3 linked regions of the Notamacropus eugenii genome follow. The protein of the gene in region 2 purifies or fractionates together with the protein of the main gene of each other region. This does not show direct contact. Links are inferred from orthologs where the notes say so. Each region holds a gene or a part of one and is shown on either strand. Other genes may lie near its edges. The genes, in order: NFKB2, NFKBIA and RELB.

Region 1 (10,153 bases), about 150 Mb from region 2:
ACAGCCTCCTCCTTTTCGCTTGTTGTCCCAGTCCCTGGCTCTGTTCTCACCTTTCTGCACCTTGTCACAGAGAAGATAAACTTCATCCCCTCCCCTAACAGATCCAGCTGTCTTATCCATTCGGGAGATCTTCAGGTTTGAGGCCCCAGGGGATTCTAGGGGGAACAAGTGATCTCAACAGAATGCCCAGCTTGGGCATCATCCCCTCAGTCTTCCCCCTCCAACTGTGGTCTCTGCTCCACATTTTCCATATCCCCTTTAACTGTGCTTGGGTCACTCACTGCTATCGTGGATGGGCTGGGAGATGACAGGTGGGAGGGGGAGAGAGAAAGAGCCATCACTGGCCCTGAGGAAGGCAGAGAAGCGGAGCCGGACAATGCTGAGGTCCATAACTTTCTTCAGTTCTTTGGCCTCCTGCTCTAGCTCCCGCCGTTCAGCCTCTGTGATGGGCAGTCACATGTATATCCAGTTGATTTCAACCCTTTGTCTGACCCCCTCAATCCTCAGGTCACTGTATGGGCCCTCCCAGTGCCCTTGATCTTTTCTCTCTTTCTCTCCCTCCCTCCTCCCTCCTTCTCTCTCAATCTCTTTTTTTCTCCCTCTATTTCTATCTCCCTCCCTCCTCCCTCCTTCTCTCTCAATCTCTTTCTCTCTCCCTCCCTCCTTCCCTCTCTCTCTCTTCCCTCCTCCCTCTCCCTCTCTCAATCTTTCTCTTTCTCTCAATTTCTCTCAATCTTTCTCAACCTCTCTTTCTTCCTTTCTTTATCTCTATCTCCCTCTCTCTCTCCCTTCCTCTTCCCCCCCTCCCTTCTTCCTCTCTACCTTACCCACAGCCCCAGACACATACTCCCCTTTCCATGGTGCCCATACCTGTTAGACCCTGGGGCCTAGAGCGGAGTCGCTGCCTCTGCAGCTTCTGCATCATGATCTCCATCATGTTCTTTTTTGTCACATGCAGGACTCCCAGGTTGTTAAACCTGAAAGGAGTCAGGGTGACAAATCAGATACGGAGAAGCAAAAGATGGGAGGGCTCAAGCGGCTCCCTGGGTGGGAAATATCTTCCCCCTGCTTTTCTACTTGTCCAAGTCCTTTGCATCCTTCAGGCAGGCTTCCTTGATTCCTCCAATCCACAGGGATCTCCACCTCTGCTGAGATCCTCCAGCCCTGAATCCAAGCAGCTTGCTCTAACCCTCAGAACACACACTGCTTATTTCATTATATTCCCAGGAGTGAATCTCATCTCCTTGGCCAAGCCATGAGCAACCAAGGGTTGGGGCCAAGCCTTCACTCTGTCCTGTTCCCTCCACCCCCCCAGACTGTTCTGAGTGTAGGGTTTAAGTTTGCTCTTTCTCTTACTCCTACCAAGATGCTGATTTCCCCAATCAAGTCCCCTTTTGTTCCAGTACAACCAAGCATGGACATTAAGCCTATGAAGAAGATTCAATAACCAGGGGACTGGAGGGGGGAAGCAGAACTATTGCTGGCCTCAGAAAAGCTCAAGGGTGGGGGTAGGGATGGGAATGGGGACATCGTACTGAGCTGTCATGTCCTTGGGTCCCACGGACACCACGCAGACACCCAGCTCTGTGCACTGCTTCCCAACCAGGCTGTGTGCATGGGCCCGAGGTGGATCGCTGTGTGTGACCAGGTCCACTTCAATCTTGGCTGGTCCCACGTAGTTACATATCTGGGGAGGATGAATGGAGGGATATTTGCCACACATGGACAGTCACCTCCCTGCCCCTCTTCTCCAGCGGCAAAACCCCTCCCCCCCACCTTCTCTTCTGCTCACCTTAACTGTAGGATATGTCTTACGACCCTTTTCACTGGAGGCTCCAGGCAGCCCTCCATGGGAGGGGCCCTCACAGCCATAGCGAAAGCGGAAGCCTCGCTGAGGATCAGAAAATAGCCATAGTGAGGAGTGATAACCCCAGTCTGCACGGACCACTCCCCAACTCACAGGGATCGCCTCTAACCACTAAGGAACACTCCCACCCACCCCTGGAACTGAAGGAAGGCAAAGCCCCTTAGCCACCCTGGTCCCCCTTCCTGCTCTCACCTGCTTGGGCTGCTCCATGATGACCAGGTAGGGGCCCTCACCTGGGGATGGAGGGGGCATGTCTGAGCCAGGGGTCTTGAGATCTCCTTTCATACCCACCCCAATTCTGGCAGAAGGTCCTATATTTCTACTTCCTGGGGAACAAACAACTGGATGGCAGGAGTGGGAATTGACAAGGAGGGAGACAAAGGGGATTAGGAGTCCTTGGGAAATTTGGTATTAGCAGAGCCATACTGACCGGTCTCCTCTGGGGGTTCTCTTCGATCCACTACCGGGGAGTTGAATTGGAAATCATCGTAATCAATGCCATCCAAACCCTGGATTTGGATAGATATAGTGGAAACTTACCATTCCCACAAAATTACTATTCCCATCCCCCACTTAGAATGATCACCCAAACTAGGAGAGGACCAGAAGTGGTCAGACAGACAAACCAAGAAAGAGGGGCAAGGGGGAAGCCAGAGAGCTGGAGGCAAAAGGAGGAAGGGGCAGCAGCTCACATCATAAGAGCCAGGAAAGCAACACAGAGGCTTGGATAGACAGAGGACCAGGAATCCAAGGGGTCGACACAGATCAGAGCTTGGCAGGACAGACAGGACTGAGTAAAGTGGGGGTGGGGGTGGGGAGGGGCACTGAAAGACAGAGTCTAGGATATTAGCCAAACAGAGAGAACTCCAGATGGTCAGACGGACAGACAGAGAGAGGCCTACAGGGTCCGAGAGAGAGAGTTGGTAATAAGGAGAGTCACAAAGATAGCCACTTAGGCTAGCACTCACTGGGCCATAGCAATCGTCCATGTTTTAGAGCTGGGCTCTGTCCAGCTTCTGCTGCCGATGTATCGCCAAGTACCTGTGCTTGTGGGTGTGGAGGGGCACCCCTCAGGCCAGGTCTAAAGGGAATAGCCAGGAGCCTGAGGGTAGGGGGCAGAGGGTCCCTCCTCCTGCCAGGCTGGAATGGGTGAGAGCCAGAGAGCTGTGGGCAGGCGGGGGCTGGGAGGGCAGGAAAGTTAGAACAGCTCAGGAAAGTCCCGAAAATACCAGAGAGAGGAGGGGCGAAGGGAGGGGGTGGGCCTGGAAATGACGTGATTTGCCCAGCCCAGAGAGGGAGGGCGCAGTTAGGAGTTTGAGGGGCCCCTTCCTGCTCTCCTTTCTCTTCCCTACTCCCAGAACAGAGCCTTGCTCCGTGGGGAACCGTGGGCTGTGGAACCCTCGCCCCTTATCAGAGGAACCCCAAGTCTGAGGGGCTGATTGCTGGGGATGAAGGGGGAGAAGACTAGGGCAAGGGAAGGCAGAGGATTTCAGTAGGAGGGAGGGGCTCTGAGCTGGGGATCTGGGGGCACCTTTCCAGGCCAGTGGTGAAATCTGGAAGCCCAATGAGAGTTTCCCCTGTCTCTCCCGCTACCCCCTCCTGGGTTTCAAACCTGCCCTTCCCTTTACTATTCTAGCCTTCCTTCCCTTTCTCCCCCCTCCCACGGCTTGGGGCTCCCCTGGGATTTTCCGTGGGTCATCTGTTGGGGCCTGGGGGGGAAGGAGGGAAGGAGACTGCTGATTCAGCCTTTGGGGCTTTTGGGGGAGATTCCTCTGGTAGGGAGCCCCCTCTCCTCTGGGGGCCCTCCTGCCCTAAGTCCCTGGGGATATAATGCCCTCCGCTCTTCCTATGGACTTTGGGCAGCTTGGGGGAGGGGAGCCTGCCTCCACCCAGCTCCTTCCCCACTCTTCCCTGTACGTGGGGATGCCGAGAGACAAAGATTCCAGTTGTCTCTCTCTGTGTCTGCCTGCATGCACGTGTGTCTGTGTAACCGTGCTAAAATGAGACGGTTGGGTATCCGCGTACTTGTGCCGGGGGTGTGTGTGTGTGTATACAACCGCGCACACGCGTGTCAGTGTGTTTTTCTGCGGAAGGGTGTACACCCTTCCGTGCCTGCGATGTGTGCCGAGGACTGCGGTCCCTCGCGGGCCGACCCTCGTGCGTGTCAGCGTCTACGTGGGAAGGCGCGTGAGTGGGGGATGTGTGTCTGCGTGGGATCGCGCCCCGTGCGGACCTGGGTTCTTGACTCTCAAGGCTGAGTGGGGGCCCGCCCCCGCCCCTCTACCCGTGCTCTGAGAACCGAGGGAACCCAGGGGCAGGACGCAGGGGCACCACTCACGGCTGCAGCTACGGCTCCGGCTCCGGCTCCGCTACCGGCGAGTCCTGCCTCCGCCAGCCGTCCGACCCCGGCGCGGCTCGGCCCGCGGCGGCCCCAGCCGGGAAAGCCCCTTTTCCGCCCCCCCCCTCGGGGGGGAATTCCCATCACGTCACGGGGCGTCACCGCCTGGCCTCTTTCTCATTGGCTCAAAGTTTTGGCCCGCAGTCGGTGCAGCCAATGAGGACTGAGCATGGAGCACCGCCCCCTCCCCTAGTGTCTCCGCCTCCCAGCCGGGAAGAGAACCCCTTCCCCCTTCCCCCTTCTCCAGGGAGGGATCCGGGAAGGGTGGGCATTCCTTGGGTGTCTCCGCGCCCTCGCGCCCGGAGCTGCGGCCCCCTCTGGGTGCCCGGTGGCCAGCCCCGAGAAGTGGAGATGAAGCTCCGTGGGCACCGCCCTCGCCCGCCAGCTCGGAGGGGCGGGGGGTTCCGCCCGCGACCCTAGAGCCCCGTCCGGCTCCGTCTGGGAGCGGGATCGAGAGCGCCACCCTGCTGGGCACCGTCCGGACCGGGCCCGCGCTGCCCGAGCGTGGAGGAGGTGGGGGTGTGGCAGGAGGCCGTGCGGCCGCCCGCGCTCCCCGCAGCACTGCTGGGTTTGTTCACGCCTGTGCACCGACTCGTTCTCCCGCCCTCCCCCAGCCCCCCGTGAGCCAAGGGTGGATTAATTGTTGTCCTCGGGTCCCCATTCCAGCGCGTAACAGGCCCTTAAGAAATGCTTCATTGTTGAGGGAGGGGGCAAGAGCCCAGCTGGCGGTGGATACCCCTGGTCCGAGGGAGGAAACGGTCGGATCAAGCTAGTGTATTGGAGAGTTGGACTCGGATTTGAAAAGACCTGAGTTCAAATGCCACCAGACACTAATTCCGTGACCTAATCTTTTAAAATGGTAATAATGTCTGTCATGCCTTTTTCACAGGCTGATCAAGTTCCAGTTCCATAATGTAAGTAAAACATAGTCTACAAAATGTCAGATATCCATAACTTCTAAGCTTTGATCTCTGTCAGCTAGGGATCAAAAGACCAGTGGTCACAGAAAGACCCAGTGTATTAAGACAAGGCTGCTAGGCCTGACTAGCTACATAGATCTGGCCCTTCCCTAGGCTCTTTTACTGACTCTTCATGCAGGTCACCCCACCAATCATGGGTATCCCATAAGGCTGACCCTCTTTCTGTACTACAGTGCTTAGTGATCTCAGCTCCCATTAACTATCATCTCTGTGCAAATTGAGTTCCAGATTTATGTGTTCAACTCTAATCTTTCTCCTGAGCTCCAGTTCCACATCACCAACTGACTTTTGGATGTTTCATAGGCATTTCAAACCCAACTTTGTCCAAAAACTCTCCTTTCAAACCTTCACTTCTCCCCAATTTTCCTGTTACTATTGAGGGTGCCACCATCCTTTCAGTCCCCCAAGCTTGAAGCCCCTGTCATTCCTTGATAACTCACTTGTCTTCACTCAGTATTTCATCCTCCTGGAGGTCTATATCATTTTTTGCTTAGACTACTGCTACAGCCTTATGACTAGTCCATCTGCCTCATGCCTCAATCCACCCTCTATTAAACTGCCAAAGTTTGACCAGGTTTCTCCCTCCCATCAACTCCAATGGTTACTATTTGCTGGATCAAGCAGAAAGCCCGTTTGGCATTGAAAGCCCTTCACAACCTGGCCTTCCTTCCTCTTTCCCAGCTTTTTACACTTTACTCTCCTCTACGATCCAGTTACACCAGCCTGTTCGCTGTTCCTCACACATAACGGTCCATCTCCTGTGCTTAGACTCTTGCACTGGCTGTTTCCCATGTCTGGTTTGCTCTCCTCCATCCTTTGCAAGCCTCCCAGGCTCTGCCCCCACTCCATCCCTCTAGCATCATCTGCCATGTACACAGTATGTTACATGTCATTTGCATGTTGTCTCATCCATTAGAATGTGACCTCTTTTAGGTAAGGGAGGGTGTATTTGTCTATCTGTATCCTCAGTGCTCAGCAGTGCCTGGCATATAGTAAGCACTTACTAAATGCTTGTTTCCTGAATGATAGGCAGGAAACCAGCTAGACTCTACAGCTACCTAGTTCCCTATTCTTGTTGAATTCCTTCAACCTTGAGTTCTAAGATTCTTATCACCACCTCCTTAAGATAGCTCCACATTTCCCCTTGTCGGCCACACAGCTTATATCCCTGTTTTCCCTCCCTATGGTTGATTAAAGCACAAGTGGTCAGAAGACCCTTAAAGCAAAAGAGGAATTCTAGGCCTAGTTTGAGCACAGTTGAAGTTTTCCTAGGTGAGACTCTAGCATCTTGAAGTTCTAGCTCTATACCCAGTCACCCTCCCACAGGAGGATGTTGTAGGCATTCAGGGCTGCTGCTCTTTAGAAGTGGCAATCAGGGGGAGGCATTTCTGGGGCAATACAGCCATAACTGTGAGTGCTGACTTCTGTAGTCCTTGAGGGGGGTGGGCAATAATGTAGGAAAACGGCAAAAAATCGCAAGAATGTGTTAGTACCCAGAAGTACCTGCTCCTCTCTTTTTCCTGGTGGCACTGAGAGAGAAGTACCAGGCACAGACTAGTGGTTTAGAAGCAGGCCCTTAACTTATAGTAGTGGGTATGATGCTTCAAAGGCCAGGCCCTATAGGCATGAGACTAGGACTTGGGGGGGAAAATCTTCAGCCACTTCTATCTGCATACCATCTTGCCTTCTGCAAGTAGATAAGTTGGGAGTCACAGGGTTGGCAAGTCACTGAATTTTTCTGGGCCTCCGTTTTCCACCCCTGTTGAAGAAGGTGGGGTATAGGCCCTAAAGTTTCTTCATACCTGACATCTTATGATGCTCTGACTTGGTTCCTAGGCTTAAGCTTCTGGAGCCCTAGTGATAGTAGATTGCAAGGATTAAGGCCTAGCTCTATCCGGTAATGGGCAACACCAGCCCTAGTTTTCAGTTCCCCCACTGTCTCATTTCTCCTTAGAACAGGGAGACTGTGGAGGAAGGTAATCTCTGGGAGCTGCAATTATTCATAAACTGTTCTAGCCTTATTTCCCACTAGTTTTGGAAGGTACAATTGCCCTTAGTGATGCCCTTCCCCAGGCAGGAGGGTAGTTGGGCAAAGTGACTGGTGGCTACAGACTGGCAACAAAGAAAACCTGTCCTTGTATCCAGTTCCTTGGTAAGCAGGGGACAGAATGCTGCAGGGTCCCCGTTTATGTCTTCTCTCCCCCTCAGCTAGCCCTGTGGATCTCTTGTGTTAGGACTAGTCCCTTCTCTATCAAGTCAGGCCACAGACTGAGAAAAGAAGTATTCGGAAGGGGAGGAGGTAAAGCAGAAGGGGAACGGGAGGCTGGTGGGTGGGTTTTATTACATTTATTACATTGTAAAAAGTCAATTGTTAACTTCATATGTACATGCTCCTGTCGGCAATTCCCCTCGTCACCTCTGTCTCCTGGCCCTAACTAACTCCCCAAATGAACCCAACTCACGGATAAAGGAGGAAGAGCTGGAGGAGGTAGCTCAGGGCTGATGGGGAGAGGAGAGGTCTGAGGAAAGGGAAGCAAAGTGCAATGTGGTTGGAGTATAGCTCTCAGAGCTCGGACTGAAGGATAAGGGCAAACAAGGGGCCCCTAATGCCAAGAAACAACATGGACAAGGCTGGTTGGCACTGATGCCCACAGGTCTCTCCCTTAGGGTTAGTCCAGGACTCCTTAGAGACTAGAGTTAGCCTGGGGTGGGCTCTCAGGGAGGCCTCCCAGAAATGATGAGCAGAAGAAGACAGTCTCTTCTCCCTGGATGACGTCTCTAGGAGTGCTGCCCTCATTCCCTTCAGCAATTTTCCAATTTGGCTCCAATGAGAGCAGCAGCAGTGGCCGGGCTGGGCCCAGAGGTGGCATCAACATAGTGTGCAACCAGAAGAGGGAGAGGGTGAGAGGCCCTCAGTGGTGTGACAGAAGGGATAGGCCCAGTCTTTCCAATCACCTGTCTTAGTTGACTTCAGAAGTGGGCATAGAGTCAGTGGGTCGAGGAGCAGTTAGCAGAGGTACAGGTGAAGTAGCCTCGATTAGGGCTGGATTTAGAATGATGGGCAATGTCATGGGTGGCACGCCCACCTGCAGTGGGGAAGCCAGGGGCTGCAGGATCAGGGGGGGCTGGGCCAAGGGCGCAGGGCCATCTGTGCTGGGACTCAGCTTGCTGGGTGTCAAGACTGTAGAAGAACCAGAACAACTACTGGCTGCTGCTCCAGAGACCTCGGGCTTCTCTGAATCTGTGGGGGAAAATGTTGCAATATTCAGATCCCACTTTGGCACATTCTACAAACATTCCTCCCATGCACCTGGATTAGGTTCCCTGCCTCAGCCTAGACAAGTGATAATCTACCTTGTTGCAGTGCTGAGTCTCCTTAAGTCATCTCTTCCAGGGTCTAACCAACCAGGCAGTTCATTTTACATCTAGGCTTAATCCCTACTCTTCTACCCTGAGTTCTACAAGAATTAATAAAGAAAAGCCCAAACGACGTAGTCCTCCTATCCCTTTGCTCAGCATCACTCTCCCCCTCACTCACACTTCCTTCTGAATGGCTCTACTATACTGGCGGTTGATGGAGCCTACACTTTTCTGATTCCCTGGGAGTGCTGTCCTTGGAGTCATTAAGACCAGATTTCACATCCAGTCCCAGACACTAATCCTAGACAAGCTACTTAACTTGTCTCCCTCAGTTTCCTCATATGTAAAATGGGGACAATAATAGCACCTACCTCCTACTTAGCTCAGCGCCTGGCACACAGCAGGAGCTTACTAAGTGCTTATTCTCTTCCTCTCATTACCCCTTCTTTTAATATTTAGAAGTGCAGAGAAAGGAGACTTACCATAGGCCCCCAGCTCTGAGGGCATTTCTGGAGTATAGTTGTGGCTAGACAGTCTTGGGTCACTGGCAGCAGGAGTCAAATGGGCAGAGGTCAAGGATTTCTGGGAATGCGGTTCGGTAGGTACCGGTGGCAGGGGATCTGGGGAGAGTTATAGTTCAGATAGTATCTCTTAGCTTTCTGTAAAAGAATAGTCTTGTCTCCTCCCAATGGCTGTGTGCCACTGACCAACCCAGGGCACTGAGCCCCAATCCAGTTTTAGGCTCTCTGGGAGCTCTAGGGTTCCTTTGTGCTGAAGCTGGGGAGAAGTGCTCAGTAGGGCCTTCCCATACCAGGGATGACTGTCTGCTTGAAGAGATCATCTCGCAGGTGGGGCAGGAAACAGTCAATACGTTCCCAGGTGATCTCCCAGAGGGCAGAGGAACTGCTTCCCCTGGTGTCTGCGTTATGGAAGATCTCGGCAGTATCCATCACCAGCAGCATGTTCTTCAGTGACTCAGGGATGGCCTCAGACTGGGAGAGAGGTATGTGTGGGGAGGGGGAAACAGAACAGATGGGAAAGAGGCAAAGAGCAGCCCTCAGACAAGGAAACTGAACAAGTGCATGTGGAAGTTAGGAATTTAGAAGGGTAGGGCAAAGTGACTGGGCCTGGTGGGGGGGGAGGTGGAAGGAGCACAGGAGAAGAGGCCACACTGAGGATAGGGTAGGGACAAAGCTCAGTGGATAGAGACCGAGTTTAATGGGGAGGGAGCAGAGGTTGGGGAGCTGTAGGGGACCATACCAGTAAGTCGCTGGAACCTGCATGCATATACTTGTCCATGAAATCCAGGATGGTCAGCCAGAGTGCAGCAAAGGTTGGAAGTGACAGCAGTGGGGATAGGTGCTGCAGGAACACCTGTGGCCCACCAGTGGCTGATCAGATGATCGAAGACACCACCCTTGTCCCTGGTTCCAGGGATGGGAAGAAGCCCTATCTAGCCTGTCTCCCTTGTAGGCCTTTGTCTCGGGTGATTCCTTTGAGGCTCAGGATTCTTCTGGGCCCTCAGATTCCACAGGGCACTGAGAGATA
Region 2 (9,672 bases):
GGAAAAGTATAAACCATTGCTTGTCATTTTCATATTGATCCCAACATGCTTGCTACCTCCCTATCTTAATTTATTTGCCAAGAGGAGATTGTTGGTGTGTGAAGTGCTTCTTGGAAGCAACAAATGGGACTAGGGTATCCTGATGACTGTAATTAACTGTTGCTCTTCTCTACTCTGAAATATATCTACTCTCCCTTGAGTAGTAGGATGTGAATCCTCTATCATCTATAAAGAAAATAGAGAAAACATCAACAAGTAGGATGATCCTGCACATAGAAATCTGTTTAATAAATATACATTTTAAAAGTACCAAAACATTACCAACAAAATAAACATAATATACACTATTTACAAAAGGGTGTAATCATCACTGACAACATGATAGGATCAGAAGCCAATTCTTTAACAGAGTTCAAAATTTTCCTTTCAGTTTACGTGACTATTAACAATCACAGAAAGCAGCTACAGTCAGCCACTAGAATCCACAGTTAGCAAATCAGTGAAATACTTAGTAATGAAGACGTAATTCTTTGGGGAAAACCAAACATAGGAAGAACTCTCCAAAAACCCCATATGCCTCTTAGGAAATTTTCTTTGAATTTTCAGTCTTCTTCCTTGTTACATGCCAAGAATTCACAAGGACAGGATGTGAGACACCCTTCAATTACAATAATGTGTTTCAAGCAAACCTATAGTTATGAGTGTACTTTTTTTTGTATTTTAAATTTTTTTTAGAAAAATAAAATATCTTTTTGTACAAATTATACAGAGTAGAGCTTCAGGCTCTTTCAGTTATATTCAGTTCATAATGCTAGGCGTTGGCCTCCAATCACACAGTCATCATAGAGCAACTAAAAGGAGAGAAAAAAGGCAAGTTAATGTCTAGAACTTCAAAGGAAAAGAGTTCAGTAATTTTGGGGCTTCTTTCTCCATTACATATATATTTTTAAAAAAGGTAAAGATATTTTCCCTTAACAGGGGGTTAAGCCAAGAGATAAATTACATTAGAACATGGGTGAATCTTTTGGCATTTTTATAGGTGGAAGATATTTAAGGGAAAAATTTGGGAAAAATAACATTCATTTTGTGACATTTTGACAGGGTGAAGTAGAATGCATAGTTGACAAATCTGAATTATGTTCTGCTTTGCTCCCAGGGGCTAGAGCTAGTATGCCCCAAGGGAACAAGGAAGAAATAAACTATACAGCCAGAAGAGCTCTCAGAGGTTCAGTCTCCTCATTCAGCATGTAGCACAAGAAACGAAAGTCCCAAAAGGACCTTGACTTGGAAAGATCAGATATATAACATACAGCAGAGTGAGGAGTGGAACCCTAATTCTTTCATTTCAAAGGGTGAGATCTTTTCAACATGTCACACTTGCCCTAGTTCTCATTTAAATTTTTTTTTACAGGATGTTGTAAGGGATCAATAAGTGTTGCAACAGTTACTTACTTCATCCTCTGTGAATTCTGACTCTGTGTCATAGCTCTCTTCATCTTCACTCTCTGGAAGCATTTGCAGGTTTTCCATGGTCAGCTGCCCCAACTGCTTCTGAATAGTAGTGTTCTCTCTGCCCCAAGTGAGCTGATATGGAGAGTAACCCTGGTAGGTGACTTTGTTCACATCAGCCCCACACCGCAAGAGGAGTGATACAAGGTCAGGATTCTGCAGGTCAACAGCAAGATGGAGGGCAGTTCGACCATTACAGGGCTCCTGTAATGCAAGAAAATTAGGATGTTCAACATAGATTATATATATATGTGTGTGTGTGTGTGTGTGTGTGTGTGTGTGTGTGTGTGTGTGTGTGTGTGTGTGTGTGTGTGTGTGTGTGTGTGTGTGTGTATATGAAATAAAATATATTCAGGGCAATGGGAAAGGGCTGGCCATAAGCAGACTCTTTTGAATCCCTGCCACACAACCATTTAAAAAGTGTTATAATCACCTGAGCATTGACATCAGCTCCCAAGGACACCAAATGTTCTACTATTGCTAAGTAGCCATGAATGGAAGCCAAATGGAGACATGTGTGACCTGCAAGAACAGCAAAGGAAAATAAATATAATTATTCATGTTAACCCTAACATTTCCTGCTACTGCCAGAACAGGGACTTTTCCCCTCATTTTCTTAAAGGAGTTAAGCTACTGTGTTCTGAAATTTTAGAAGTCAGACTTCTAGTCTTTCCCCCCAATAAGTAAAGTTCCCTTAAATAAATTAAACTGATAATGGAGCCGTAAGTGACATTTTAAAAAGTCTCCGATTTTTAGACACTAGGCAAGTTCCTTCCCAGTCTCATGGTTCAGATTCTGTATTAAGCAGTTCTAACGTGTCCAGGGCCTCACTGGCCTCCAAAGAGTGGTAGCATTGCTGGAGTCGTACCATTGTAGTTCGTGGACTGCAGCACGGAGAGGAGGTCCTGGGTCTGGCAATACTGGGTAAGCACTCCCACACCAGCCAGGCAGCCCTGCTCACAAGCAAGGTGCAAAGGTGTATTCCCTTGAAAGTCCCTGAGCTCTGGGTCGCAGCCAGCTTTCAGCAGTGTCTCAGCAATCTCTGGCTGTTTGGTGATCACAGCCAAGTGAAGAGGAGTCTACAAACCAAAGAGAGAGAGGAACACAGGTGAGCCTAGGTCACACGTAAACATTCTGGGATTCCCTTCAAAATGATCATCCCCTAGCCTTAGGAACTGCCAATGCTGTCTCATTAAGAAATCAAAGCTATAACCCAGGAGCAAAGGTTACTGACGGAGAACAGCCGTGGCACTCTTTTGGGTCGAGGGGGCCTGGGTTCAAGTCTTGACTGTGCCACCTGGGTAATAGGTAAGTGATTCGAAGTCATTTCACCTCACTGCACTTCTCAATAATCTCCTCATCTATAAGATGAGGGTCCTGCTAGACCTGCTGTCAGGTCCTTTCCCCATGTAAGTCACTGCTGACCCCGAAGTCATTCTAAACGAGAACAGTCTTGCTGATCCCGGGCCTGCCAGGCCGGGCCAGGCAGGGCACCAAGCGGCCTCGAAGGAGGGGGCCGCACCTGCTGCAGGTGGTTCTGCGAGTTGAGGAAGGCCACGTCCCCCGCCACTTGTCGGATGACTTCCAAGGTCAGGGTCTTCTCCTCGTGAATGATGGCCAGGTGGAGGAACCTGCAGCGCGGAGCAAGGAGAAGAGAGGGCGCGTGAGGGATGCGCGGCGGGCGGCGGGGGGGAGGCGGGGCCGGGAGGAAGGAGGAAGGAGGGTTGCGCAAAGCTGGGGTTTCTGAAGGCCGGGGCCGGTGTTTTCCGCGAGGTTATTATGAGCTGAGTGTTCCTGGCACTACCCCAGGGACTTTCCGGGCCCTCCCCCACCCCTCCCGGCTGGCGCCGGCCCGCCCCGCCCCTCCTTCCCCAGCAACTGGAACGCCCTGTACTTCCCCCTGCCAGCGGCGGCCCGCGCGGCCCGGGCGCGCGGCCAAGCCCCGCAGAAAGTCCCGGCGCGGCTCCCCTCCCCCAGGCCACCTTACGCACCCCGGGCCTCAGGTCCCCCGCCCCGAGCTCGGCCCCGAGGGGCCAAGGGCTTCGAAGAGTTTTGTAAAGGGGGGGGCGAGGCAAGGGAAGTTCCATCCGCTCGCTCGCGGGGGGAGGACGGCCCACGATGTGCTGGGGGCTCTCCCCGCATCCCCCGCCCGTTCCTGCGGCTCTGGGGTGCACCCACCTCCAGCCTTTGTTCCCCCTCCCCCCCCGACCCCCGTCTTCGTGCCCGTAACCGAGAGCCCCGCCACACTTACGTGTCTCCGTCCTCGGTGACCTGCAGCTTCCAAGGCTCTTGGGGCGGCCCGGGTTGCGCCTCCTGGGGCTGGATCCGGATCTCCTTCAGCTCCTTCACCATCAGCTCATACTCCTCGTCCTTCATGGAGTCCAGGCCGCTGTCATGGCGATCATCCAGAAGCCTCTCCTTTTTGAGCCCGTCCCGGGGGCTCTCCATGCCCTGCTCCCGGGGGCTCTCCTCCTGGGGCTGTCTCAAGGCGTGAAACATGGCGCTGCTCCGAACCCACGGGCTTCGTGTCTTTGCGGGGCTCCAAACGCAGCGGCGAGCGCGGGGAGGGAGCCGAGGGGGGCGGAGGAAGGGGGCGGCTCTTGGAGCTGGCTGGCTGGCGACGGGGAGCAGGCCAAGCGACCGTCAAGCGACTGGAGGGGAGCGGGCCGCGCCGCCGACCTATATGCTGCGGCCGGGGATTTCTCGGGGGCGGAGTCAGCGCGGGGAATTTCCAAGCCAGTCAGAGCAGAAAGAGAGAACTGGTCCGGTCCTGCCCGGAGGGGGGAAAGCCTGCAGCCCGCGGGAGGGCTCGGCGGAGAAACTCCCGGGGATGCGGCGGCGGGGTCATGCCCGGGGAACGTTCTGATGAGCGCTCGGTCGTTGGAAAGTCCTCCCCCGGCTCCCCTCCTTTTCCCCCAGGTATTCCCCTGCAGCCCAGACTCGCTCCAGTCCCGCCAGCGTGCCAAACACCTTTCCTTTGTCCCCCACCCCCACCCCCACCCCGAGGGGTTCCCTGTCTGGGCTTTAGGTTGGATGCATTCTGAGCTCTCCAACTTCCAACATTTCAGGAACGAAGAACTCAGCCAATTAATGAGCACCCCCTTTCTCCCCAACATTTAAGTGCCTTACTACGTGCAAAGCACTGGGGATACAGAGGGAAAAGTAGCCATGTCCATGCTCTGCAGGAGTCCAAAATCTGTTCCTTGTTGGATGTTTCAGCTTCAAGTCAGCTACAAAGCCCCGGAGGCCCTCAGGACAGCAGCAGAGCAGAAGCTAGTGCATCTTCTTCAGTACAACTCCCATGGCTAATTTTTAGTGATTGATTGATTTCAAGATAGCTCCTCTGTGGGACTGGCTGAGCCAAACAGGTCTTTATTTTAAAACAAATCTTGTAAAGAAGAAAGATGGAAAGCATGGTTGCATGCAGGGATCCATGCATCCAGACTTCCTCTGTGTGAAAGTGTGGTCTAGTGGTTGGAGTGAGACAGGAATCTTAGATTCCATTTCTCTCTTTGCTGTCTACCTCTATCTGCAGTATAAAGCCTACTGATTCCTTACTTTTCTCATTTTCCTAAATAGGAATACTGACAAATGAAAGAGTTAAAAAGCCAAGTGCTTTGAAATTCTCAAATGAAAAGTACTTCTTGTGGCCTCCTTGAGTTTGCACAAGCACCACATCCTATATAGATGGGAACAGACTGATCCATGCTAGTAAATATTCTTATTGGATTACTCTTCGCTGTACATGAAACTGTTAAGTATGAAATAGCAGTAAAAGGAAGCCAAGTGTTCAGGGCTCCTTTGTTTATTTTTTAAAGCAGAGGTGGTAGGTATCATTACAGTTAGCCACTATGTATTTGTTGATGGTCAGCTATGTGCCTTCAATGATGCTTTTGCAGATATTCATCCAGGTCAATTCTTTCCTTTGGCATGTTCCCTTTATAGTTTAAGTACTCCATGCAAAACTTTTATTTAACCATGTAAAAAAGATGGGGAGAGGGAAGGGTGTTGGGGAGGTGTAATTCAAAGAACCAGCCTGATATGTCTGTGAAAAACATGAGGTCTAAATGTATTACACTATATGCTAACCAGGGCCAAGAATACGTCTGTCAGGTAACTGCTCAGAAGTGGGGGGAGGGTGCTATCATATTTTAAAAAATATTTTTCTCAAATGTTGCTTATACTAGATGCCCACCCCCTTTCATTGAAAATCAACAAAGACCTAATTGCTTACCTTATTTGGTAATGGAGAAAGTAGGACATGTCATCCATCCGTCCATCCTTTCATCCAACAAACATTTAGTAAGTGGTATTCAAGATACAAAGAAAAAAGATAGTCTTTTCCCTTAAGCCGAATTATATTGGGGGAAATAACATACAGAAAAATCCAAAATATATATGAAGGAACTATGGAGCACAAGCAAGAGGGATATCAGGATTGACTTCTCTGGAAGAGGTCTCCTTAGAAAACATTCATGTGGCATTAAAGGTTTGCAAAGCTCTTTATAAATATTACCTCATTTTATCCTCATTGCAACCCTGAGGAGGAGGTGCTATTATTATTTTCTCCATTTTACAGATGAGGAAACCAAGGCAGACAAAGTTGAAATGACTTGCCCAAGGTCATGCAGCTAGTATCTGAGACAGGATTTGAAATAAGGTCTTCCTGGTCTTCTGGGTCCAAAGCTCTGTCCATTGTTCCAACTCGCTGGCGCTTAAGTTGTGTTCTGTCCATAGTTTCCAGCAAAAGATCTAAAGTGGTATAGCACTCCTTCTGAGCTACTCTTCCAAATTCATCCACACAGGTTTGCAAGTTGGATCCCCAGGGACATGACTACTACTCCCACAGGTTTTAAGGTACCCTGTGAGTACAGGCTCCAAGAGCTTCCAAACCCACACCAGTGTGCTTCCCATTAATGGTCAATCAGTAGACATGTCAGCTCAAAGCAAAGGCATTTATTAAAATGGCATAGTAAGACTTGCAGCTACAACACATTTCTCTTCACGAATCTGCAACACACTTGGTTACAATTATTATTAATAGTGTCAGGGTACTCATGCCAAGACCACTCCTCTGTTTTTACATCTCTTTTTTTACTATTAGGAAATACCCAGTTTTCCAAAGCTAAGTCCCAGCAAACAAGCTGTTTAACATAACAATCCTTTGTGCTTACCCTCTGGATGATCTCAGTCACAGCAAAACCCTAAAATTGTTTCCCATGAGCACCAGGTGGTCTGTGAGCTTGGACAAGCATCTGTAGTACCTGTGTTCTGGTCATGAAGTCCTGGCATGAATCAAACTTACCTCACTGTTGCTGGTACCCCTCCACTATCGGGGCTGCATCTCACTTTAGAAGCCATTGGTATAAATGAGATTTGCCCACACTATTAGCTCTTTGGTTTTATTTTGTTTTATTTTATTTTTAGAGTTAAGTGTAGTTTTGGTAAGCTATGTGAGCTCTCTGGGTTGCTTTTTTTTTTTTTAGCATTAGCAGCAGTTGCAGAGCTGGGTGGCTCTTTGGTCATTTGTTTTTAGGGCTGAGGATAGGAAGAGAGGGTATGTACAAGAGAGTACAATAAAAATTTGGCACATGTGTAGGGATCAAACATAATCAATGCAATTCATGCTTTAAGAACTACAGGATCTTGATAGACTTTCTGTAGTCTTCATGGCATGCCTCCCTCTCATTTCCCCCACTTCTCCCATATCCATAGCTGGGCTCCGAGGGACCGCTCTTCTCCAGAGTGACTATCAATTGCCAGGGAGAGTTTTCTTTTGAGTTCATAGCAGGCTCTCTTTTCCTCTCCAAGAGAGCAAAGTTGCTTCTAACCTAGAATGCCTCTCTATTTTCATGTCTGTCTGGAGAATATGTATCTCTGCTTCCTCTTGGATATATCTCAACTTTTGAACTGACAAACTGCTGGATGTGGCAAAGTATTTCTTCAACTAGATGACTTAACAATGGAGGTGGGGAGTGGGGAAGAGAGAGAGCCATTCTTGGAATTCTTTCTTTATGGTAGGTTCCTAGTCTGAAATAGCTCTTAATATCCAACTGCATCATTTAGGGGTCATAGGGACGGTGTAGAAGGGATGACCAATTATTGTTTGTTTAGGCATTCACTTCTGATTGAGAGAGAAAGGTATTCACATTAAATAAACAGTAGCAGGTTAGCACATCATTCTGTGTCTATGACGGAGCTGGGGAAGGGGAAACCAAGTCCTCCCTCCCTGGTATCACTGATATCACTCCACTTCTTGTAGTGGGCTGGTAACTTAGATCAGATCTATTCAAATGTTGGACATGAGGGGCCAAAATGGTTTGCAGAAATTTCTTGATGTTTTTGTAGTATCCCTTACCTTTAACCTTTGTATTTCTCCTTATCCATTTTTAATGTAGGGGACCTGGGTTTGTAAGTTAGTATAGATGAAGGAGAAGAGGGTGAAAAATACACACGTAAGTGTGGTATCATGGAAAGAACACTGGCTGTGGACCTGGAATTCTACTTCTGGAAGCTTAGTCACCTAGGTCGGGGCTTTGATCCCTTCCAACACTAGATCTGTGATCCTGTGAATCTTTAGGGAAGTTGTAATAACATCTAATTAATCTAGCACAGTATCTAGCCAGGCACTGCTGGCTAGTGCCTGTCCTTTATTTACCATTACAATTTGTTCTTGATTATTGTTCTGGACTTCTGTCCTCTCAGTAGGGGAACTGAACTCTGAGGTGCTCCAACTCCATCTCACTTCAGATTCCTAAGAAACAATTTATTTTTGGTTTTAGTCTGAAGGTTTCTCTTCAGTAGAGTTGGGGAGACAAATTGAAAGAAAGGAAGTAAAAAAAAAGTTACCCAGGTACAAACATGAATCAGGTATGGAACAAGCAGTTTTATACTCACACAGGAAGGGAACAGCTTAAGCAATAAAGATTCACAGAATGATTACGATCAGTTGAAAGGCTAATACTCAAGCCTCATTGGGACTTTGTAACAGGGCAGCTCATTGGTTACTTTTTACATTTCTACTCCACTGAGAATAGTCCAATTGATGCCAAGTGTACTCCTTTTCCAGTGGTTTCCTCTTTCTGTGGGCAACTCCTTCTTTCTTCCTAAGGTCTGCTGCTGCCTCTGCTATTGCCGTTTCTGTTGCAACTGCTCATGAAACTAATGCACCACTGTTTGGGAAGGGGGAGAATTCCAACTGTTTTTTGAAATCTCACAAGTCTCTGTGACCAGATACAAACAGGAGGCAGACCCATGCCAGACACAGGCTTGACTAAGAGGCCTTGGGTTGGCAGGTGGGGGGAAAGTCCCCCTTCCCCTGCCTTGGACCTTGGAAACTAGTCATCTTCATAAGCCTCAAAGCCAGCAAGAAGGAGAGGCCTGAGGGGGTGGGGATAGCCCCTTTAGATTATCCTTAATATTCTGGTTTAGCAATCATTTAAATAAGTCCTCAGTGACTGATAAAAAGAGTTTCTCCATCATAATCCTCCACTAGGTACTAGGAAATATGCTATATGGTCTCTACATAGGAGGAAAGACCAATTTACTGGGAGTTAGTTTAGCTGGGTCCCAATTCTAGGTAAGATATATCTCTGAATTTAATTTAACAGTTTAAACTTACCTCTCAATGTCCCCTCTTTCTCACTTGTAAATGAAACATTTGGATCAGATTTTCCTTGACCAATTTTGCAACTCTATTTTGCGTAAATGCAGTCAAATCTGATATTTCAAACACACTGATGTGGTCCTTGGGAACATCATAGCGGAACTCTCCATGTAGAAAGAATGATAACATTCTTCACTTGAAGGAGTGCAGACATCTTAGAAGTATCATTTCATTAACTCTCATAGCACCTGCTGTGAGAAGGGTGGAGGCAGACACTAAAGTGACCCAGGATTTCCTTTAATTGAATTTCAGTAACATTTTAAAGGCACATGTGGATGAAAAATAATTTCATCTGTAATCCAGAATAGTTTTCAAGGGCAGCTTGTTTGAAGCTTTTTTTTTAGTTGCCTGGTCATTCTCAATTTCTTCTGCTGACACCTAGTGTACAAGAACCGCAGCAGCAACAGTAACACAGCTCATTGATTGTCCAGGGCTTAATGATCAGTGGCCGGAATTTAGGAAGGCGTTAAGTTCTGAGCCTTGATGAATTGTCCCTA
Region 3 (9,949 bases), on a different chromosome or scaffold from region 2:
CTGAGTGGCTCTGCTCTGGACAAACAAACAGAGAAAAGCCCTGCCTTCAGGAAGCTCCCACTGATGGGGGAGACAAGCCCTAGAGAGGAGGGCTGACAGGCAGGGAAGCCTGAGCCCTAGCAGAATCGATGGAGATGGCTGTTCCAGCAATGTCAACGTGGATCCTAACACTGAAGAGCACACTGATGTCAGGAAGACAAAAGTGATCGTTTCTATTTGCTTCTAAGTGTCAAAGGTCGTCACCTCCAGGAGGAAGCACAGAGTCTTGTTTGATGCTCGAGTCTGTCAAATGAGGAGGCTGAATTTCTAAGTCCACTTCCAGCTCACTACCTGATCCTGTGAAGTGCATTCTCCCCCACTCACCACACACACGTACACGCGCGCACACACACACACACGTGACACCTGGGGCCAAAGCCCTGCCTGCCCAGGGCTAGGGCCAGCTCTGTGGTGCTGGGAGTTTTGCTCTTCTAAAATTTGGAAGGCTCAACGGGAATCACAGTGGGTACCTGTGTCGGGGGCTGATGTGAGGCCGCAGCCGGACCCGGCAGACGCCATCGGCACAGTCTTTGCCCACGAGGCCATGGGGGTGAACGCGGTGGGGCCAGTCCTTCCACACCAGGCAGGCCGTGACCTCCACCTCCCGGATGCCCCCGCAGTCCCGGAGCTGTAGAAGCAGAGGGTGATGTAAAGGACTCTGCTGCCCGCCTTTTCCGCAAGTTCCCAACACCCAGCCCCCCTAGCACCCACCTCGATGGCGGGCAAGGTCTTGCTGGCCTCTGTGCTACTTTCTCCGAGGATGCTGCCAGCTGAGCGGCCCTCACACTCATAGCGGAAGCGCATCCCCCGCTGCTTGGGCTGCTCTGTGATAACCAGGTGGGGCCGGGGGCCGGGCCAGGCTGGTGGGAGCGGGGGTGGGGGGGGTAGGCACCCCACGGTCACAGTGCTCAAAGAGGCGGGTCCCCGAGGGACCAGCCGGAGGCCCCCCTCCCCGGAAGAGGCCCGCTCGAGACGAAAGCCATTTTCTTTGATGTATTCATCAATGATGTCTGGGGTCAGGTAACAGTGGCCAGTCAGTCATTCACCGCCTTCTCCCCCAAACTCCCAAGTGTCATCTCCATGCCCTCTCCCTCTTTTACTGTCTCTCCTGAGGTCAGTGCCTGCTTCTCCCAGAGGCCCCCACCAATCCTCCCCTGGGGCCCCCCTACACTTACCCAATTCATCTGTAGGGGAAACAGAGAGAGAGAGAGATCAGAGTCCTGGGATCACTAGGAAGTGCTCCCCAGTCCCACCCCTGGACCTCCCAGCAGATGATGTAATGGTAAAGCTAGAAGGACCCCCCCCCCCCCATTCTATGGATGGGGTAGTCAAGGCCTATAAAAATAACTTGTATTAAATGCTTCATGTTTGGCACTTTGTGATCCCACGGGATCTCAGTGCCCCTGGGAGGGGATCCTTTGAGAAGCTAGGGAGCAGATGCTCAGAGCCAGGGAGCTGTGCTCATGGGCATGCAGCTGGTACATGGTAGAGACAAGATCTCTCCTGACTTTGTTCCAAGTTTTTTCCACTCCATGGCACAGGCCCTTATTGGCCCTGCTCACCCTTCTCCCCCAATTTAATTCCATCATCTTCATCCCAGACCCTCCCTCTTCCCATTCGCCACTCCTTCAACCCCATGTACACTTTAGGTGTCTTCCAAACCATTTAACAGATGAGAAAACTGAGGCTCAAAGTGATAAAGTAACTTGCCCAAGGTCTGGGGGTTAGAACTGAACCCAGGTCCTCAGCCTCGGAGAGGGAAACTAGAGCCCAACAAGGTGTCAAGGTCATACAACTGCTTTAGAGGTCAGCTTATACAATCCCCTCATTTGATAATTAAGGAAACTGAGGCCCAAACTGGGGAAAAGGACTTGTCTAAGTCAATAAATTGAGACAGCAGTAAACCTCAAATCTCCTAACACCCAAGGCTTGGGCCACCATCCTCATTTTGAGAAATGAGGGTCAGTCCTCAAATTCCCCATCCTCAGCTGCCAAGGCCCTAGGCCTAAGGGAGTCTTTAGAGACCCTCAAGGACTTTCCTCCTCCTAGCCCTCTTTCCCCTGTTCTGTTCTCTCATCCTTCTGCAGTCCTTGGATTCCTCTGGCCTTCTTCCTTTCCTCAGGTATCTCTGCCCTTTGGGGCCCCACCCATCCATGGACACTGCCCCTTCCCTGCTCTGGGAACCCTCCATGATTCCTGGACCATGCAAGGGAATGAGCCAGATTATGAAGGGAGAGATAGAAAGGTAGAAAACGAAAGCAGAATGGAGGGGTATAGGAGGAGGAAAGGAGCCATTGAGACCAGAGTTCTCATCCTACCATCCTACCGTGCCTAGTCCCAGTCTCTTCCCAAGCCTGGAGAGGCGCTGGGAGTCAAAATAGTATAGAGAATGAAAGAGTTGGAAGGGACTCTGGATTCCATACAGTCCAGGCCCCTCATTTTAGAGATGGGGAAACAGATAATCTGTAGCCCTGGAGAGGGAGAGGTTGAAGGCCATCCAGATGGAGGTTAGATGGTAACCCAGTTCTCCAAACCAGGCCAGGCTGCTCCCTCCCCACAGAAGGGACTTTGGGCAGGGCAGGATCATTGAAGGGGAATCCCAGTTCTTCTCCTCCACCTCCCCGATGGCCCAGTGGCTACCTACAGGTACCTGCCCAGGGCCACAGCACTTCCTGGTTCTGCAGTGACCTTTCCCCTCCCCCCACTCAGTCTGAGGCCAGAGAACTGTGTTTCCCTTCAGTCAAAAGACTGAGGAGGTAAATTCATTGCACTGTAACGAAAAATGAAACCTCAGAAGGTCAGGGCTGGGAGGGAATTTAGAACATGAAATGTCAGAGCTGGCACAGACCAGCAAAGCTGGAGGATGTCAGAGCTGAGGGAGCGGGTTATGGTACAGGGGAAAAGACTTGGTTCTGAATCAATGGGTCTGAGTTCAGATCCCAGGTCAGTCACTAACTACTTGTGTGGGCTTGGGTAACTCACTTGTCTTTCTTAGCCTCCAGCTTCCTGTTCGATTAAAGCCAGCCTCTAAAGACCCTTCTCACAGTAAGCCTGGGGGGCTCTGAAGCCCAGTATCAGAGAGATCATTTTACAGATGAGGAAACTGAGGTGCAAAGGAGTGCTCCAGGAGTCTGAGTCAACAAGCATTTACTGAGCACCTGTGGAGGTGTGCCAGACACAGGACCAAGTGTCAAAGCAGGGGGAAGAAGCGGGTTGTACCCACCTGTGGTGCGAGAGGTGGGCAGAGTCAAGGCTGGGAGCTCAGTGGGTCCTAGGAAGGAGCAGATTCATGGAACATTCTACCTGGCCCTCCTTCCCGCTATTCCCCCAAGGCCTTTTTCTTCTTTCCCAGAGGGCAGTGATCCTTCTACTTGGGGCCCTTTCCTTCTCCCTCATTGCCTGGGTGCTCCCCCCTCCCTGATCTCTGCTGCACTGTGGGGAGGGCATCCCCTTTCTCCCTCTCTCACCCCCTCTTCCAGCTCGGCCATCTCCTTTCCCTGTCCCTCCCTGCTCCCCCTGCCCCCATCCCTGTCCCTGCCCCATAAGAGGAGGTGATTCCTTTTCCTCCCCAGCTCCTCTGCCTCCCCTGGGAGGTCCCCCTTTTCCTCCTCGGCTTCTCCACTTCTGTTCCTCGATCCTCCTTCTCTGTCCTGAGAGGGTCCCTTTCTTGTCTCCCCTGCTTTCCCACTTGTGTCCCTGTCTCTTTACTGCCCTGCTCCCTCCTCTCCATCTCTGCTTCCTTGGGGACCCCTTTCCCTTCCTGGCCCCTCCCCCAGCCCTACCACTCTGTCCCCCACTTGGGCCCCCTCCCCGGCCCTCCCGCTCTGACCCCTACTGTTACCCCCTGCGCTCTGCCCCACTCGTGCCCCCTCCCCCGACGCTCCCGATCTCTGCCCCCCGCTGGGCCCCTCTCGGTCTCCGTCCCACTGTCGCGGGCGGGGGAAGCTCACCCATGGCGGCCAGCACGGAGGCGGCGGCCGCGGCAGGGGCGGCGGGGGCCGGGCGGGCCGGACGGCCGCTCCTCCGCATGGCAGGGGCCCGGGGCCCGGGGCGCGGCGCGCTCTGAGCCGGGCAGGCTCCCCGCGGGCCGCAACAGAGCCGAGCCGGAGCAGGAGCCCGGGCCTGGCCGGACCGCGGGGGGGCGGGGGAGGCGGCGGAGGCTGGGGGCGGGGCCGCGGAATTCCCCGGCGCCGCGGAGCCCGCCGCCCCTATTGGCCCAGCCCGGCCCGTGACGTCACGGCGGGTGGAGCGGGGAAACCCCCGCGCGCCACGTGACCTAGGGCCAGCCGCCTGGGCCGGGGGCGGGGCCGGCCGGGAAGAAGGGGCGGGGCCTGGCCCAGGGGATCCCGGCTGTGGCCGGGCCAAGCCCCTCACTTAGGGGGGCATTCGAATCTAGGACTCAGGATTCCCAAGCCTGAGCCCTTCTTCCTCCACCCTTGTTTGAGGAAAGGGTCCAACAGGGTCTCGAGGGAGAAGTGCGAGGCAGCAAGGGCCCCCAAAAGACGGGCCAGGAGGAGGCCTGGGAGTCTTGGGGGGCAGTCTGCAAACAGGTCTGGATGGGTCTGGGGGAGCAGGGACTGGGGCGGCCACAGCCCTTCCAAGAGAGAGGAAAGGGGGGAGGGCACTGGGGAGCCCCCTCTTGTGGGTCTCTATGGCCCAGGATGAGCCCAAGGTCGGGGGAGGGAGGGGTTGGGGGCTCCGGGGAGCTGTCCAGCAGCCCCCCTAGGCGGCGATGGTCAGCAGGAGAAGGAGGCCGGGCCCTGGCATAAGTTAAACACCCATATGAATTTATTAAATCCAGAGTCTGTGTTGGGGGAGGTGGGAGGTGGGAAAGGATGAGATGGGTCTGGGGGTCGGGAGGGAGAGCTCTGGGGCCTCAGCCCCCTCCCACCCACCTCCCTGCCATGATGCGATGGCTTACAATGATTACAGATGGCGCTGGAACTGACACAGGGACAGACAGGCAGGGAGCGCCCTGCTCCCCACACTCCCAACACCAGCCTTCCCCCACATCACAACAGGGGGGCGTTCCCCTGACCCCCTCCAGCTCCCTCCCTCCCCGTCTGTCCAGGGCAGGGGGGATGGGGTCACAGTGAGCTGGGGGGGGGGGGCATGGGGAGAACGTTGATGGCCAGGGAAACCAGGGGAGAGACTAATCCTTCTTCTTTTCCTCTGCCGGCTTGGGGGCGGGCCCCTGGTCCTGTCCAGGGAGGGGGCCATCCCCACTGGGGGCTGCTGGCGGCGTCAGAGCCGCCACAGCTGTCTGCGCCTCCCCGCTCATTCCAAACTCGTTCACTCGTGTGGGGTCCACCCGGTATATCCACCGCTGATAAAGGTAGATGAAGAAGACCACATCTGAAAAAGCACAGGAGAGACCCATGAGGGGGCCAGTGGGGCTGCCCCCACCCTCAGCCAGAACAGCTTCCTCAAGAGCTCCAGGCTCCTCTCAGCTTCCTGAGGATCACAGATTTAGAGATGGAAGGGCCTTTGGAGGCCAGAGTCCAACTTCTTCGTTTTGCAGAGAAGAAAACTGAGGCCCAGAAAAGTGACTTGAATGAGCTTACACCATCGAAGTGACTGAGGCAGGATTTGAGCCTTTGGCCACTTCCTTTGACATGGACCACCTCCTGGATGCATTTAGGAGACCTTGGGGTTGTGGTTCCCAAGTATCCTAGAAGTAGTCCCAGGCCTCCTGGGGAGCCTGCCCCTCCAGGGGATGGCTTTGCCATCGTGGATGGCTCTCCCTGTAAGAGGCTATTCACTAGATGGAGCTGCAATCTGACAGTGCATTGCCCCTTGTTCCCAATTCAGTGTCTGGGATGAACCAGGTGTTTAAGAAATGTTTACTGAATTCGAGCTAAGAGAAGGGTATGACAACAGAATCCTACTCCCTCAGAGGTCTTCCCTCCTTCTGGCTACTCTCCCCACTTCCACCTACAACCCTTTCTTGTCCAGCCGGCCTGTCTCTGCCTCCCTACAACAGGACTCCCATTAGTCCGAGGGGCTGACTGGCATCCTGCTCTCAGGGCCTCACCCAGGGCTGTGCCCCACCCTCTTCCCCATCCCCATCCCTCCAGGCCCCCACGTGCTCACCATCTCGAAGACAGCCAATCCGGTACATCACTGGCATCTTGATGACAAAAGCAAACAAGTCATCAATGAAAGTGTTGAGGGCTTTGTAAGTCAGCATGCGCCAGGGCAGATGGGCCACGGACTTGAGCTTATAATTGATGAAGAGCTGGGGCGTCATGGTGATGAAACCTGGAGATGGATGCAAAGGGGGCAGGTGAACGCACTGGGAGACTTGGAAGGGGCCTCAGTCTCCTCATCTGTAGGGTGGGTTGGACCAGACAGTCTCTGAGGGCCGCCTGAGGCCAACACCTACATTCCACAGAGAGACTGAGGCTTAGAGATGGTCACAGCTCACTCCAGACACCATCAGCATTCATCGGTGTCCTGGGCTACCTGATGTCAGACCTGAGACCTTACAGGATACATGGCCCATATCCCTTCATTTTACAGATGAAGAAACTGTCTTGCCCAGTGGGTCCTATCAGGTGAGGGGTAAAACTGAGATTGTTGCCAGGGCTTCTAACCTCCACATAGTGCTCTGGCTATCACACTGGGAAGACAAGAGGGCTGGCTTGGTTGAGTGGACATAGCTAGAGGGGCCACCCAAGGTCAAGAGGGACCATAGGCGCCCCCATTCTCCTCCCTTAGCTGGAAGGCCCTTCCCCCATCCCTGGGTTCTTCCTTCACAGCCATCTCCAGCACAGCCCACACCTCCAAAGCTTCAGAACTGCAATGGGGAAGGAGTTTACATATAGGGCGGCCATTAGCAGCTGGGTGCCCTGTACCTGGTCCTGCTGGGCCCTCAGGTCTTCCAGCTACTTGGTCACTAGGCCATGGTCCCAACATATCCCCCAGGTCCCCCAGGCACTCCCCCACCATGTACATGTGTATGGCCAGAGGCAGAAGAGAAGTCAGGCCTTCTCAGAGCTCTATTCACTGCCTTGTGGACAAAAGAATAACAGGACCAAGAGGCCAGAGAGTCTAAGGCCAAGAAAGGTCTGGGCTTGCCCAGAGCCCCCAGTACAGCTGACACAAACTCAGGGTCTCTCCTCAGATGCCAAAGCCAATCCCCTTCCTTCCTACTCTGGCAGAAGGACCGCTAACGTGTTCCGGCTGTCAGGGAGGGTCTCACCGAAGGTCAGCAGGAAGCCGTAGAGCATGCTAAGGACCCAGGAGTACCAGCCCTTATGCTCCATGTACAGAAGGCTGTACACAGCATAGCAGCCCAGGAGGGGGAACAGGATCCAGGACAGGTACCTGAATGCCATCTGCATGGGGGGGAGGGAGTGGTGAGTCCTGATAGGGACCTGTCCTCAGGGCCCCTCCTCTCCCACACCCACATTGCCTCCTTGGCCCTCTGGCCTTGCCCAAGGGACTTCCCAGGTAACACACAAGGACTTTGAGCTTCCTAGCACTTGCAGGCTGGAGAGGTGTGTGTGTGCATGCGTGTGCACACCCCAATATGCCCACAAGGGCCCCCCCTTCTGATTCCCCCAGGTCTCCCCCTCTCTCACAGCCCTCCTCCAGGGGAGCCCTCCACACCAGTCTCCTCCCCCATGTCCTTCAGGATGCAGGGTCTGCCTCTCTCCACCTCCTTCTCCCCACCCCCACCCCTGTCTTTTCCAGGGCCCTGCACCCCACACTTACGTCATCATAAATTTTGGTGGAGGACTCTATATATGTAGACTTATCCTTGAAGGTCAGGCGGGGGAATACTCCAGCCACCTTGTTCTCTCGGTCCAGCTAGCGGTGGGGGAAAAACGAGTAAGCGGAGGGAGAAAAGCTCTCTTCGAGGACAACCAGCCCCAATGCCCCTCAATTCCCCATACCCTGAGGGGCTCTAGTACCAGAAAATCCCCAATACAAATTCCCCAATCCTTAGTGGGGGGGCTTGGTCCTGGAAACTCCCTGGTCCTACACTGGGGATGGGTGGGGGGAGGGGTCTTAGCTCCCTGCAGTGGGGGCTGGGAGTCAGGGCTCAGCACTCTCCTGTGCAGAGTTGATTGAGATCCTTACCCGGACATCCATGACCTTGGTTATCTTCCACAGGTCAATCAGGACGCCAATAAAGACGCTGACCTGAACCACAAAGTTGGTCTCATTGTCAAGAATATAGAGAAGGACCACAAGTGACTGGAACACACCAAAGAAGACAGAGCGGACGGAGAGGCCCTCAAGGGACTGACGGCTGTTCCAGAACTGGATGTCTGTGAGCCCGGGATGGAGCAGGAATTAGGGAGGTGAAGTCAGGCATACCCAGGCCACCAGAGGGCTGAGGTGGGCCTGTCTCTATGCTCAGGCTGGGGGCTCCCTCTGGTGCTAGGACCCTCTCCTGTCAGCTCCAGGGCCACCCTGGAGTTCCCCTTGGCTCAGACAGCTGATCCCCTGAAGCCCGGGTGGGGGTGGGGCCTTGCCTGCTCTCTGCCTGGAAGTGCCCGCCTGTTGCCCCACCCTTCTTCACCCCCTCTTCAGGGACTGCCCTGACCAAATCTCCCTGGAGTCAAAGATTTGTGGCATCGAACCTCCAACAAGGCGGAAAACTGCCCTAGTCTTTTTGGAGTAGGAAGGGGCTGCATGTTTGAGGAAGGCTCCTCTAGGCTGGGGGCTCTCTGGGTGGGCCCCTACCATTCTTGAAGGCCAGGAACTCAAAGACGCTGTGGACAATTGAGACGACGATGGTGAGGGCCAGGAGGTAGGGGTTGGTCTCGAGGAGGGCCACCTGGGAGGGCAGTGACACACAGAAGGTCAATGGGAGTGAGGACTCTGCCTGACCCGTCCTCCAGGGGCAGGCCCCAAGCCCAGGAGACCCACTGAAAAGGGCATTGGGAGACAAGAAAGAACAGTCATGGAAAAGTCAGGGAGAAGAAAGAGGGGGAGAGATGAGGGAAAAGTTGAGGAAGGAAAGGGAGCACGGCTGGTGCAACCCAAGGGTGGGTGGAGGCTGGGGAGCACCTGCCCCTCTGCCCTCACCCTGCGTCCCCCAGGACCGGCCCAGAAGCATTATTAGAAGGACTCAAGCTTAGGGATCAAGTGACTCTGACCCTTGTCACCTGGTGGAGCAAGAAAGGGTGGGAGGGAGGGAAGGAAACAAGCATTTCTTAAGTGCTTACTGTGTACCAGGCCCTGGGCTAAGCACTTCGTAAACCTCTCGCTTGATCTTCACAGTACCCTGGGAGTGAGGTGCTGCTCTTGTCCCCATTTTACAGCTAAGGAGACTGAGGCCAGCAGAGGGGAGGTGATGTGCCAAGGGGCACCGCTCACCTTGACGGAGTCCTGCTCCTCATCTGACTGCTCGTACAGGTCCTCCCCCAGGAAGTTCCAGGGCGAGCGGCTGCTCTGGGCTGCATAGAGCTGCCAGCGCCACAGCGACAGAGGGCAGAAGGAGAGGCGCAGGGGCAGGCTGGCCAGGGTCTCGTTGATGGGGTAGTAGTCTCGCTGCAGGTTCCAGTAGTCATTGAAGTAGATGATGGGGTAGTAGTCTCCGCTCACCGCGTCGAACTGCACGTCTACAGGGGAGCAGGAAAGTGGCCATCAGGAGGGCGAGGAGGGAGGGCCCAGACTGGGCCGGGCCGGCAACAGGAAGGGGAGCCTGAGGCAGCCCCCCGGGGCCGGAGGGGCCACCCCAGAAGTCAGGGCTCCGAACTCTGCTGAGAGGCCTGAGGATAAAATGCAAACAAAGAGGGAGAGTCCCAGGATCTGTGATTTCACTGGCAGCTACAGCCAAGGTCCAGATGAGGAAAAGCCCGCTCCCATATGGTTGGGCACCTTCCCCAGGGAGCTGCCTGGAACACCAAGAGGTGCAGAGACTTGCTCAAGGACACACAGGCAGTGTTGGTTG

Evidence for each region.
Region 1: the proteins of NFKBIA (region 2) and NFKB2 purify together in Homo sapiens (affinity purification with mass spectrometry; 6 studies listed by BioGRID and IntAct, counting the BioPlex papers as one, with this or other methods). This does not show direct contact. The link is inferred for Notamacropus eugenii from reciprocal best matches to the Homo sapiens genes NFKBIA and NFKB2.
Region 3: the proteins of NFKBIA (region 2) and RELB purify together in Homo sapiens (affinity purification with mass spectrometry; 4 studies listed by BioGRID and IntAct, counting the BioPlex papers as one, with this or other methods). This does not show direct contact. The link is inferred for Notamacropus eugenii from reciprocal best matches to the Homo sapiens genes NFKBIA and RELB.

What each region holds. Positions count from the first base shown.
Region 1 is NC_092872.1:180,576,732-180,586,884, reverse strand, and holds the start of NFKB2 (nuclear factor NF-kappa-B p100 subunit), read right to left. Parts: upstream 4,317-10,153; 5' UTR 4,206-4,316; intron 3,110-4,205; exon of another isoform or gene 3,049-3,109; 5' UTR 2,857-3,048; coding exon 2,836-2,856; intron 2,377-2,835; coding exon 2,298-2,376; intron 2,194-2,297; coding exon 2,060-2,193; intron 1,892-2,059; coding exon 1,793-1,891; intron 1,688-1,792; coding exon 1,536-1,687; intron 978-1,535; coding exon 871-977; intron 441-870; coding exon 282-440; intron 156-281; coding exon 51-155; intron 1-50. Other genes in the region: GBF1 (Golgi-specific brefeldin A-resistance guanine nucleotide exchange factor 1), read right to left, coding at 8,206-8,486, 9,088-9,225, 9,417-9,597, 9,866-9,979. UniProt on the Homo sapiens protein: NF-kappa-B is a pleiotropic transcription factor present in almost all cell types and is the endpoint of a series of signal transduction events that are initiated by a vast array of stimuli related to many biological processes such as inflammation, immunity, differentiation, cell growth, tumorigenesis and apoptosis.
Region 2 is NC_092872.1:327,532,090-327,541,761, forward strand, and holds NFKBIA (NF-kappa-B inhibitor alpha), read right to left. Parts: upstream 4,654-9,672; 5' UTR 4,009-4,653; coding exon 3,761-4,008; intron 3,141-3,760; coding exon 3,032-3,140; intron 2,589-3,031; coding exon 2,378-2,588; intron 2,032-2,377; coding exon 1,943-2,031; intron 1,714-1,942; coding exon 1,453-1,713; intron 852-1,452; coding exon 804-851; 3' UTR 257-803; downstream 1-256. UniProt on the Homo sapiens protein: Inhibits the activity of dimeric NF-kappa-B/REL complexes by trapping REL (RELA/p65 and NFKB1/p50) dimers in the cytoplasm by masking their nuclear localization signals.
Region 3 is NC_092876.1:27,467,428-27,477,376, reverse strand, and holds the start of RELB (transcription factor RelB), read right to left. Parts: upstream 4,141-9,949; 5' UTR 4,069-4,140; coding exon 3,990-4,068; intron 3,311-3,989; coding exon 3,263-3,310; intron 1,224-3,262; coding exon 1,215-1,223; intron 1,050-1,214; coding exon 751-1,049; intron 668-750; coding exon 510-667; intron 1-509. Other genes in the region: putative lipid scramblase CLPTM1, read right to left, coding at 5,192-5,394, 6,133-6,300, 7,244-7,379, 7,759-7,854, 8,128-8,318, 8,737-8,830, 9,373-9,617.